Linked DNA regions of Saccharomyces cerevisiae S288C. The protein of the gene in region 1 purifies or fractionates together with the protein of each later gene. This does not show direct contact. Each region holds a gene or a part of one and is shown in the gene's direction. Other genes may lie near its edges.

Region 1 (3,746 bases):
ATCTGGAAAACCAATAATGGGAATTTGCGTCGGGCTACAAGCGCTCTTTGCCGGTTCCGTGGAAAGCCCTAAGAGTACGGGTCTGAACTACATTGATTTTAAGTTGTCCAGGTTCGATGATTCAGAAAAGCCAGTACCAGAAATAGGTTGGAATTCTTGCATTCCCTCGGAAAACCTATTCTTTGGATTGGATCCATACAAGAGGTACTATTTCGTCCATTCTTTTGCTGCCATTCTGAATTCAGAAAAGAAAAAAAACCTAGAAAATGACGGTTGGAAAATTGCAAAAGCTAAGTACGGTTCAGAGGAATTTATTGCGGCAGTCAACAAGAATAATATATTCGCTACTCAGTTCCATCCTGAAAAATCAGGTAAAGCTGGTTTGAACGTCATTGAGAATTTTTTGAAGCAACAAAGTCCTCCGATTCCAAACTATAGTGCGGAAGAGAAGGAACTCTTAATGAATGACTATTCAAATTATGGTCTAACACGCAGAATTATTGCTTGTCTTGATGTACGTACTAATGACCAAGGTGATTTGGTGGTTACTAAAGGTGATCAATACGATGTACGTGAAAAAAGTGATGGTAAAGGTGTTAGAAACCTTGGTAAGCCTGTTCAGTTGGCACAGAAATATTACCAACAGGGTGCGGATGAAGTAACATTTTTGAATATAACTTCTTTTAGAGATTGTCCTTTGAAGGATACTCCGATGCTAGAGGTTCTGAAACAAGCCGCAAAGACAGTCTTTGTTCCATTGACAGTCGGTGGGGGGATCAAGGATATTGTCGATGTTGATGGAACCAAAATACCTGCTTTAGAAGTTGCAAGTCTATACTTCAGATCTGGTGCTGATAAAGTATCGATCGGTACGGATGCAGTCTATGCAGCCGAAAAATACTACGAGTTGGGTAACAGAGGAGATGGAACGTCACCAATAGAGACAATCTCGAAAGCATACGGTGCTCAGGCAGTTGTTATTTCTGTCGACCCTAAGAGAGTATATGTAAATTCACAAGCAGATACGAAGAACAAAGTCTTCGAGACAGAATATCCGGGCCCCAATGGAGAGAAATACTGCTGGTACCAATGTACAATCAAAGGTGGAAGAGAATCTAGAGACCTTGGTGTGTGGGAATTAACAAGGGCATGTGAAGCTCTAGGTGCTGGGGAGATTTTATTGAACTGCATAGACAAGGATGGCTCTAATTCTGGTTATGATCTGGAATTGATAGAACATGTTAAAGATGCGGTCAAGATTCCCGTCATTGCATCCAGTGGCGCCGGTGTACCCGAACATTTCGAAGAGGCCTTCCTAAAGACCCGCGCAGATGCTTGCTTGGGTGCAGGTATGTTCCACAGAGGTGAATTCACTGTTAACGATGTAAAGGAGTATTTACTAGAGCACGGATTAAAGGTTAGAATGGATGAAGAGTAATGTGGTTGGATATGTATACTTTATAATCTTGACTCAGTCTATATACGCAATAATGATAGATGTTAAATCAGACATTTCACAACACAAGAGGATGTACAGCTTGGAGAAATTGTACCAACTTATATGGTTGTATTATTGGTGGTGTCAGTAGGGGAAGAAATAGAACATATTTTTCCACTTTTTCATTTTTTTTTTTTAGCGAGGCATCGGAAATGAAAATTTTTAAAAATCGATGAGCTCCCACTTCTTCAACATTGACGAAAGGAAATATGCACTAAGTTGTTTTAAATCCAAGATTTGTCTCGTTTTAAGACTTACAGATAAAACAATATATTAGAAAGATTAACTATAATGGCCAGAGCATCCTCTACTAAAGCCAGAAAACAGAGGCATGATCCACTTTTAAAGGATTTAGATGCAGCTCAAGGTACCTTGAAAAAAATCAATAAAAAGAAGCTAGCGCAGAACGATGCTGCAAATCACGATGCTGCAAATGAGGAAGATGGATACATAGACTCCAAAGCATCAAGAAAAATTTTGCAGTTGGCCAAGGAACAACAGGATGAAATTGAAGGTGAGGAACTTGCTGAATCAGAAAGAAACAAGCAATTTGAAGCCAGATTCACCACCATGAGCTATGATGATGAAGACGAAGACGAAGACGAAGACGAAGAAGCTTTTGGAGAAGACATCTCCGATTTTGAACCCGAAGGTGATTATAAAGAAGAGGAAGAGATAGTTGAAATCGATGAAGAAGACGCAGCGATGTTTGAGCAATATTTCAAGAAATCAGATGATTTTAACTCTTTAAGTGGTAGCTATAATCTTGCAGACAAGATTATGGCCTCTATCCGAGAAAAGGAAAGTCAAGTTGAAGATATGCAAGATGATGAACCACTTGCTAATGAACAGAATACCTCAAGAGGCAATATTTCATCCGGTTTGAAGAGTGGAGAGGGTGTTGCACTTCCAGAGAAGGTCATCAAAGCATATACTACGGTAGGTAGTATTTTAAAAACTTGGACGCACGGTAAGTTGCCAAAGTTGTTCAAGGTTATCCCATCCTTAAGAAATTGGCAAGATGTCATTTATGTGACCAACCCGGAAGAATGGTCACCACACGTTGTTTACGAAGCAACGAAATTATTTGTATCCAACCTAACTGCTAAAGAATCTCAAAAATTTATTAACCTAATTTTACTTGAACGTTTCCGTGACAATATCGAGACCAGTGAAGACCACTCTTTAAACTATCATATATACCGTGCGGTGAAAAAATCGCTTTATAAACCAAGTGCCTTCTTCAAAGGTTTCCTATTCCCATTGGTTGAAACAGGGTGTAATGTACGTGAAGCGACAATTGCAGGAAGTGTGCTTGCTAAAGTCTCTGTTCCGGCTTTACATTCTTCAGCTGCCTTGAGTTATCTTTTAAGGCTACCTTTCTCTCCACCTACAACTGTTTTTATCAAAATATTGCTCGATAAAAAATATGCTTTACCGTACCAGACGGTGGACGACTGCGTGTATTACTTTATGAGGTTTAGAATTTTGGATGACGGTAGTAATGGGGAAGATGCTACAAGAGTACTCCCAGTGATATGGCACAAGGCTTTCTTAACATTTGCACAACGTTACAAGAACGATATTACCCAGGATCAGAGAGATTTCTTGTTGGAAACTGTTCGTCAAAGAGGCCATAAAGATATCGGTCCTGAGATTAGAAGAGAACTATTGGCAGGAGCCAGCAGGGAGTTTGTTGATCCACAGGAAGCTAATGATGATTTAATGATTGATGTCAATTGATGCTGTAATATCAATTTTTCATCAATTTTATATCGCTCGGTCTTTCCCCCTTTCAACAAAGCTTCTGAATCATGTATAATAAGTAGAAAATATAGAGTAAAAGATTATTGTTCAGGCAAGTTCCTTCCTATCAATTCTTTATGCATAATCTATCGAAATCATCAAAATATGGCCTATATATTAGCCTATATATTAGCCTATATATTAGCCTATATATTAGTCCATATATTGCAGACTGAATTTTTTTTTCTAAACTATCCATGTTTGCAAGGAATTATCATAAAATGAGCATGTTGCGATCAAAGAATTTGACCAGTCGCCACCGTAACACATCGAATCATGGCCCTTCTTCAGATAATGTTGAATTTGAAAATACTCATCGGAATTATCATTCATGGTCACCACCTTGGCACCATTGTACATGCAACAAACTAAAAGCCGATCGGAGCCGTTGTGGTGAGATTGTTCCTGATCAATGGGGGATTCAACAAATCTCCAAACACCG
Region 2 (3,606 bases), on another chromosome or scaffold:
CTGCTTTCAAGTCTCTATGAACAATACCTTGAGAATGCAAAAACTCGAGAACGCTCACCAAACAGGCGCAGTACGAGGTAACTTGAGTTTCGAGGTCTAAACACTGATTTTCAACAATTTTTTCATACAAATCTCCCTTCTGACACAGCTGAGTGATCAGGACAATGTTATCTGCCGTCTCAAAATAGTCGAAAAGTTGTAAAATATGGTGATGCCCCTCAAAAATGTCCAAAGAATGTTCATTCTTTTTTTCCATATCTCTGATTTTCTCGCTTATTGACCTCAAAAGGTCGAACTCTCTTTGAATAAGTTGAATTTTGTTCTTGACAGTTTGTTTCTTAATAAGCTTCATCGCGTACAAATCCTTTGTGTGTATATTCATACATTCTTTCACGACGCTAAAATTCCCATCGCCCAAGGAGTTGTGGTTGGTTACGTATTTACATTTGAAGGTTTGAGCGTCTGCATTGCTGCCACTCAGTTGCGGCCAAGGTTTTTCTTCCGGCAGGCGCTGTTGTAGCTGGGAAGCAGAAGAACTAGCTGTAGTCATATCCTGGATGTGTATTTTTCTTTTTGAACTGTTGTAATGTCAATTGTATGAAAATATCGCGGTTTGGCTGAGACAGTCGTGGTAGGTAACTGAAGGAGCAAACAAGAAATTAATAAATAAACAAGTTAGCAAAACAAATAAAAAAACTGTCACTCTAAATAGAAAGAAGTAAAGAAGCAGAAGAAGTCATCCCCGTTCGACACGTTTTCATATTCTGAGTACATGATAAACCCCGCCCTCTTTTTCTTTTTTTAGGAATCCCCCTTTCTATTGTCAGAACAAGAAAGCGGTGTTGGAATTCAAGCAGCTTTTTTTTTTTCTTTTCGTCATACAGTTTCTTTTTCAGGAGTCTTGGTAGCACCCCACCCGTGGAATCGGCGGAATAACCTAACACGTGGAGGTTTTTCCGAGGTGCCAAAAAAGGAAAAACAAAGAGAAGCTGAAATCGGAATTTGAAGAATAGCGTGGGGGGGAGGGGGTTATTCAAGGAGCGCCTGTACCGGCAACGATAGCTTCGGCGGCTAAGATGGCAAACCTAATAGATGTATGTAAAAACATGGATGATAGCAGGCGGTGAACAGCCATGGTAATTTTAGGGAGTGCAAAAGTTATATGTAAGGCTATATCTGTATCAGTTAACAGGGGTGGAAAATGATTTGATAGGCGCAATATGTTTATTGGTAAAAGAGCATCTTAAACCACTTCATTCCATTTCTCACTATCACAAGTGATATATTATGTGTATTTTGCAATCCATGACGCTTTAATGCTTTACAAAGCGCTGCTACTTCTATTTTCTTAACGTAAAGAGGAGTGTATGACGACTAAGAATTGTTTACCCGGCGAGAGTCGATTCTTCGTTACCCGAATTGAAAATTTTTTATTTGCTTTTTCTTTTTTTTTTTTTTTTTTTTTTCAATATTAGCTTTAGCGATGAGATGAGATTTTATAGTGTATACACGGTACTTGAGTACATAGCTATTGGATAACTGTATACTATAATAATTAGATAAGCTGAGCAATATTAACAGGAGAAGTATGGCTACCCCGTCAAATAAACGTTCTAGAGATTCTGAATCTACAGAAGAACCTGTAGTAGATGAAAAGAGCACTTCAAAACAAAACAATGCCGCACCTGAGGGAGAACAAACTACTTGTGTGGAAAAGTTCGAAGAACTAAAGTTATCACAGCCAACTTTAAAGGCCATTGAAAAGATGGGATTTACCACTATGACTTCTGTTCAGGCAAGGACTATCCCACCTCTTTTGGCCGGTAGGGATGTTCTTGGTGCTGCCAAGACAGGTTCTGGTAAAACTCTAGCGTTTCTCATCCCTGCTATTGAACTATTGCATTCTTTGAAATTCAAACCAAGAAATGGTACCGGTATAATTGTCATTACGCCTACAAGAGAGTTGGCTTTACAGATTTTTGGAGTGGCAAGAGAGTTAATGGAATTCCATTCACAGACATTTGGTATTGTCATTGGTGGTGCAAATAGAAGACAGGAAGCCGAAAAATTGATGAAAGGTGTTAACATGTTGATTGCTACCCCTGGAAGATTATTGGATCACTTACAAAATACAAAAGGATTTGTATTCAAGAACTTGAAGGCTTTGATTATCGATGAAGCGGACAGAATCTTAGAAATTGGGTTTGAAGATGAAATGAGGCAGATAATTAAGATCTTGCCAAACGAAGATAGGCAATCCATGTTATTTTCAGCTACACAAACGACCAAAGTTGAGGATTTGGCTAGAATCTCGCTGAGACCGGGCCCTCTTTTCATTAATGTCGTTCCTGAAACCGACAACTCCACCGCAGATGGATTAGAACAAGGCTATGTGGTATGTGACAGTGATAAGAGATTTTTGTTGTTATTTTCTTTCTTGAAAAGAAATCAAAAAAAGAAAATTATTGTATTTTTATCATCTTGTAACTCTGTGAAATATTACGCTGAATTATTGAACTATATTGATTTGCCAGTCCTCGAATTACACGGTAAGCAAAAACAACAAAAGAGAACAAATACATTTTTCGAATTCTGTAATGCGGAAAGAGGTATCTTGATTTGTACAGATGTCGCAGCTAGAGGGCTAGATATCCCTGCTGTGGACTGGATCATTCAATTCGACCCTCCTGATGATCCAAGAGATTATATTCATAGAGTCGGAAGAACCGCAAGAGGCACTAAAGGTAAGGGTAAATCTTTAATGTTTTTAACACCTAATGAATTAGGGTTTTTAAGATATCTAAAGGCTTCCAAGGTCCCATTAAATGAGTACGAATTCCCGGAAAACAAAATTGCAAACGTTCAATCACAATTAGAAAAATTAATTAAATCCAACTATTATCTACATCAAACAGCCAAGGATGGTTATAGATCTTATTTACAAGCGTACGCTTCCCACTCTTTGAAAACTGTCTATCAAATCGATAAGCTGGATTTAGCCAAAGTAGCAAAGTCTTACGGTTTTCCAGTCCCTCCAAAGGTTAACATTACAATTGGTGCCAGTGGAAAAACGCCAAATACCAAAAGACGTAAAACTCATAAGTAATTTCAGAGGATCAATTTTTAATGCTATTAATGTGTACGTGGAACCAACACAACCGAAGTATTCATCTTCTGTTCTCATCGCACTCCTTTTCCTTTCTCTGCTTCTCCACTGTATGTCATTTAAATAAATGTATAAACCGCTGTTTTCTGTTTGTTGTCTTCTACGTACGTTGTCTGTATCAACCTGCACATATTTGAGTATGTAAAATCATGATTTGTAAACTATTGTAAAAAAACTTCATTGATATGAAAATCTGTCGTCTGCTCAATATTTTGTCTTCACTGTTCCCTTTATGCATCCCATGACGCCATTGAAAAGCAAAACTTCGTTGCCAACGGTAAGGCTTCCTATATCTATATCTCCCTCTTCAATAAGGCCGAGCCGCAATAAATAATGACGCATTGTTCCGCACAAACATCCAGTTGCTAATCTTGGTGTCACATACTTTTTAGAACCGTTAGGATCTTTTTGAATTACAGCCACGTTTGTTATTGAACCTT
Region 3 (4,166 bases), on another chromosome or scaffold:
GGGAGTTAATTCTTTAAGTCGATTTGCGACTTCGTTGAGGAGAGCCAATTCGTTTCGTAATATCGAGCTAAATGCGGATAATGAAAGATCCTTTTTCAAAGAGAGTAACGATGAAACCTACGATCCGGATACTTTAGCACCAGCTTTGGACGGTAGAAGATTATCAGTAACTTTAAATAATGCTGGTCGCCCGCGCATTACTAATTTGGCTAACAACGATAGAGTTAGTACAGCCAGCATGGCTATTCACGATGATGATTATGGGTCCATCCAAAATTCAACAATTGGGGATTCTGGGTCAATATTACGCCCTACTGCCTCCTTAACAGAAATGATGAGTGGTGGAGCGGGGAGAAGGTTTACAAATAATGACATGGATTCAATTGTAGTGAAGAGAGTGGAGGGTGTAGATGGTAAGGTAGTAACTCTTCTTGCTGGTCAGTCGACCGCTCCACAGACCATATTCAACTCAATCAATGTACTGATTGGTATTGGGCTCCTGGCGTTACCTCTTGGTTTGAAATACGCCGGCTGGGTTATAGGACTTACTATGCTTGCAATCTTCGCCTTAGCGACATTTTGTACTGCTGAACTTTTGTCTAGGTGCCTAGATACAGATCCAACTTTGATATCTTACGCGGACTTGGGATATGCAGCATTTGGTACAAAAGGGCGCGCACTAATTTCTGCTCTTTTCACACTTGACCTACTGGGTAGTGGGGTGTCCTTGGTGATTCTCTTCGGAGATTCTTTAAATGCTCTATTTCCTCAATACTCCACCACTTTTTTCAAAATAGTTTCATTTTTTATCGTTACACCCCCGGTTTTTATACCATTGAGTGTTCTATCTAATATCTCGCTTCTGGGAATCCTTTCAACAACCGGAACTGTGCTAGTCATTTGCTGCTGCGGACTATACAAGTCGTCTTCTCCAGGTTCATTAGTTAATCCGATGGAAACGAGCATGTGGCCGATAGATCTAAAGCATCTCTGTTTATCTATAGGTTTATTGAGTGCCTGCTGGGGAGGACATGCGGTTTTTCCCAACTTAAAGACAGATATGAGGCATCCAGATAAATTTAAAGACTGTTTGAAAACTACCTATAAGATAACATCGGTTACGGACATAGGTACTGCAGTTATTGGCTTTTTGATGTTTGGAAATCTTGTTAAAGATGAAATTACTAAGAACGTTTTGCTGACGGAGGGATATCCAAAATTCGTTTATGGTCTGATTTCAGCGCTTATGACTATCATTCCTATCGCAAAGACCCCATTGAACGCAAGACCTATCGTTTCTGTATTGGACGTTCTGATGAATGTGCAACACATAGATGAAGCGGCCAGCGCCATAAAAAGAAGAGCTGCGAAAGGCCTTCAAGTATTCAATAGGATCTTTATTAATGTTGTCTTCGTTTTGATAGCTATTAATTTCCCTGAATTTGATAAGATTATCGCATTTCTGGGGGCCGGTTTGTGTTTTACAATTTGCCTAATTTTGCCGTGTTGGTTCTATTTAAGATTGTGCAAGACAACAATCAAACCATGGGAGAGAGTGGCTTGTCACGTAACCATATGTATTAGTGTCGTGTTGTCCACATTAGGTGTTGGTGCTGCAATTATTTCATAATCGACGAGGGGCATACTTACTCTACTTAAAATTCATTTACATTAGCTCTGTACTTCTGATAATGAAAAACCATTGCGTAATATACATATTTTCGTGTAGAATTATTTCCATAAAATATTCACCGCCTTTTCTGTACTGGCCGCCGGCATGCGAGGGAAGCAGAAAATTTTCAATTTTGCGATGAGCTCTTGAAGAAACAGTGTTTTGTTATGAATAAATGATGTGTGCACGAAAGACCCAAGGAAAGTCGTATAATGTCAGAACTCTTTGGAGTATTGAAATCTAATGCTGGCAGAATTATTTTGAAGGACCCCTCCGCCACTTCTAAAGATGTTAAAGCATATATAGATTCAGTTATCAATACCTGTAAGAATGGGAGTATTACAAAGAAAGCAGAACTGGACGAAATCACTGTTGATGGTTTAGACGCCAATCAAGTTTGGTGGCAGGTCAAACTAGTTCTTGATAGTATTGATGGTGATCTAATTCAAGGAATTCAAGAACTCAAAGATGTTGTCACGCCTTCTCACAATCTCTCTGATGGTAGCACCCTGAACTCATCATCCGGGGAAGAAAGTGAACTAGAGGAGGCAGAAAGTGTTTTTAAAGAAAAGCAGATGCTCTCTGCTGATGTTTCTGAGATTGAGGAGCAGAGTAATGATAGTCTTTCCGAGAACGATGAAGAACCTAGTATGGATGACGAAAAAACCAGTGCAGAGGCAGCTAGAGAAGAATTTGCGGAGGAAAAAAGAATTTCTTCTGGGCAAGATGAAAGGCATTCTTCACCCGATCCTTATGGTATCAATGATAAGTTTTTCGATCTCGAAAAGTTCAATAGGGATACTTTAGCTGCAGAAGATTCTAACGAAGCTTCTGAGGGGAGTGAGGATGAAGATATAGATTATTTTCAAGATATGCCTTCAGATGACGAGGAGGAGGAGGCTATTTATTATGAAGACTTTTTTGACAAACCCACAAAAGAACCTGTGAAGAAGCACTCTGACGTAAAAGATCCAAAAGAAGATGAAGAATTGGATGAAGAAGAGCATGATTCTGCCATGGATAAAGTGAAATTAGACTTATTTGCGGATGAGGAAGATGAACCGAATGCTGAGGGAGTGGGAGAAGCCAGTGACAAGAACTTATCTAGTTTCGAAAAGCAACAAATAGAGATTAGAAAACAGATAGAACAATTGGAAAACGAAGCGGTTGCCGAGAAGAAATGGTCTTTGAAGGGTGAAGTAAAGGCAAAGGATCGTCCCGAAGATGCATTGCTCACTGAGGAACTTGAATTCGACAGAACTGCAAAGCCTGTTCCTGTTATAACAAGTGAGGTCACAGAATCATTAGAAGATATGATTAGACGAAGGATACAGGACAGTAACTTTGACGACCTTCAAAGAAGAACCCTGTTAGACATCACACGTAAGTCTCAACGGCCTCAATTTGAATTGAGTGATGTTAAATCCTCGAAGTCGTTAGCAGAAATATATGAGGATGACTACACACGCGCTGAAGATGAATCTGCATTAAGTGAAGAGCTTCAAAAGGCACATTCCGAAATATCAGAACTTTATGCTAACTTGGTATATAAATTGGATGTGCTTTCATCAGTGCACTTCGTTCCTAAGCCAGCAAGTACTTCTTTGGAAATTAGAGTTGAAACACCCACTATATCGATGGAGGATGCTCAACCTCTCTATATGTCGAATGCCTCTTCTTTGGCTCCTCAAGAGATATACAATGTCGGTAAAGCAGAAAAGGACGGAGAAATTCGCTTGAAGAATGGTGTTGCAATGTCTAAGGAAGAATTAACCAGAGAAGATAAAAACAGATTGCGCAGGGCTTTGAAAAGAAAAAGATCGAAAGCTAATTTGCCAAATGTAAACAAAAGATCTAAAAGGAATGATGTTGTTGACACTTTGTCAAAAGCCAAGAATATTACTGTTATCAATCAAAAGGGTGAAAAGAAAGATGTTTCCGGTAAAACGAAGAAGAGCAGATCAGGGCCAGATAGCACAAATATAAAACTTTGAACACGCCGAAGAAGACTTAGTTTGTATTTAGGTAAAAAATTATTTCTTCATAACTCTGTTCACCCAGCATTTTTTATGGAATATCGACCTTGTAATGTCATTAACCCCTTAAAGGACCACTTAAAGAAAATGAAGTGCATCATGAAATATTCATGACGAGATGCGGAACATATACACTCATAAATACCAGAAGAATGTGCTGAATAATTTTTTGTTGGTAATTGGCTGTCATTTAAAGTATCGTTGAAACAAGAGGTATTGGAAGATAGCTAATTTTAGTATTATTTATGACGTTCTTTCCTGGATAAATGTAGATGTATATACGTAATAAAATGTTAATTAGTAAGTTATATGCTTTCCATATAATGTTCTATCTTAGTCTGCATAACTTGTTTGCTTGTTTTTGTTTCTAACGCTTCTCCATACTGGGCTAAGAGATTTTTTATTTTTTTTGCAGCAGTCGGCCCTGATATCAGCTTTTCTCCTAGTGCGCCATCAAA

What was found. Proteins that work in one complex are often made in the same cells at the same time.
Region 2: the proteins of ENP1 (region 1) and HAS1 purify together in Saccharomyces cerevisiae (affinity purification with mass spectrometry; 5 studies listed by BioGRID, with this or other methods). This does not show direct contact.
Region 3: the proteins of ENP1 (region 1) and MPP10 purify together in Saccharomyces cerevisiae (affinity purification with mass spectrometry; 7 studies listed by BioGRID, with this or other methods). This does not show direct contact.

The regions. Positions count from the first base shown.
Region 1 is NC_001134.8:712,499-716,244, reverse strand, and holds ENP1 (snoRNA-binding rRNA-processing protein ENP1), read left to right. Parts: upstream 1-1,789; coding exon 1,790-3,241; downstream 3,242-3,746. Other genes in the region: HIS7 (imidazoleglycerol-phosphate synthase), read left to right, coding at 1-1,438; RRT2 (diphthamide synthase), read right to left, coding at 3,491-3,746. UniProt on the Saccharomyces cerevisiae protein: Required for normal export of the pre-40S particles from the nucleus to the cytoplasm.
Region 2 is NC_001145.3:849,574-853,179, reverse strand, and holds HAS1 (ATP-dependent RNA helicase HAS1), read left to right. Parts: upstream 1-1,588; coding exon 1,589-3,106; downstream 3,107-3,606. Other genes in the region: protein kinase TDA1, read right to left, coding at 1-550; aminodeoxychorismate lyase ABZ2, read right to left, coding at 3,371-3,606. UniProt on the Saccharomyces cerevisiae protein: ATP-dependent RNA helicase involved in 40S ribosomal subunit biogenesis. Required for the processing and cleavage of 35S pre-rRNA at sites A0, A1, and A2, leading to mature 18S rRNA.
Region 3 is NC_001142.9:436,981-441,146, forward strand, and holds MPP10 (rRNA-processing protein MPP10), read left to right. Parts: upstream 1-1,884; coding exon 1,885-3,666; downstream 3,667-4,166. Other genes in the region: AVT1 (Avt1p), read left to right, coding at 1-1,630; MRX12 (Mrx12p), read right to left, coding at 4,014-4,166. UniProt on the Saccharomyces cerevisiae protein: Involved in nucleolar processing of pre-18S ribosomal RNA. Required for the early cleavages at sites A0, A1 and A2 during 18S ribosomal pre-RNA processing.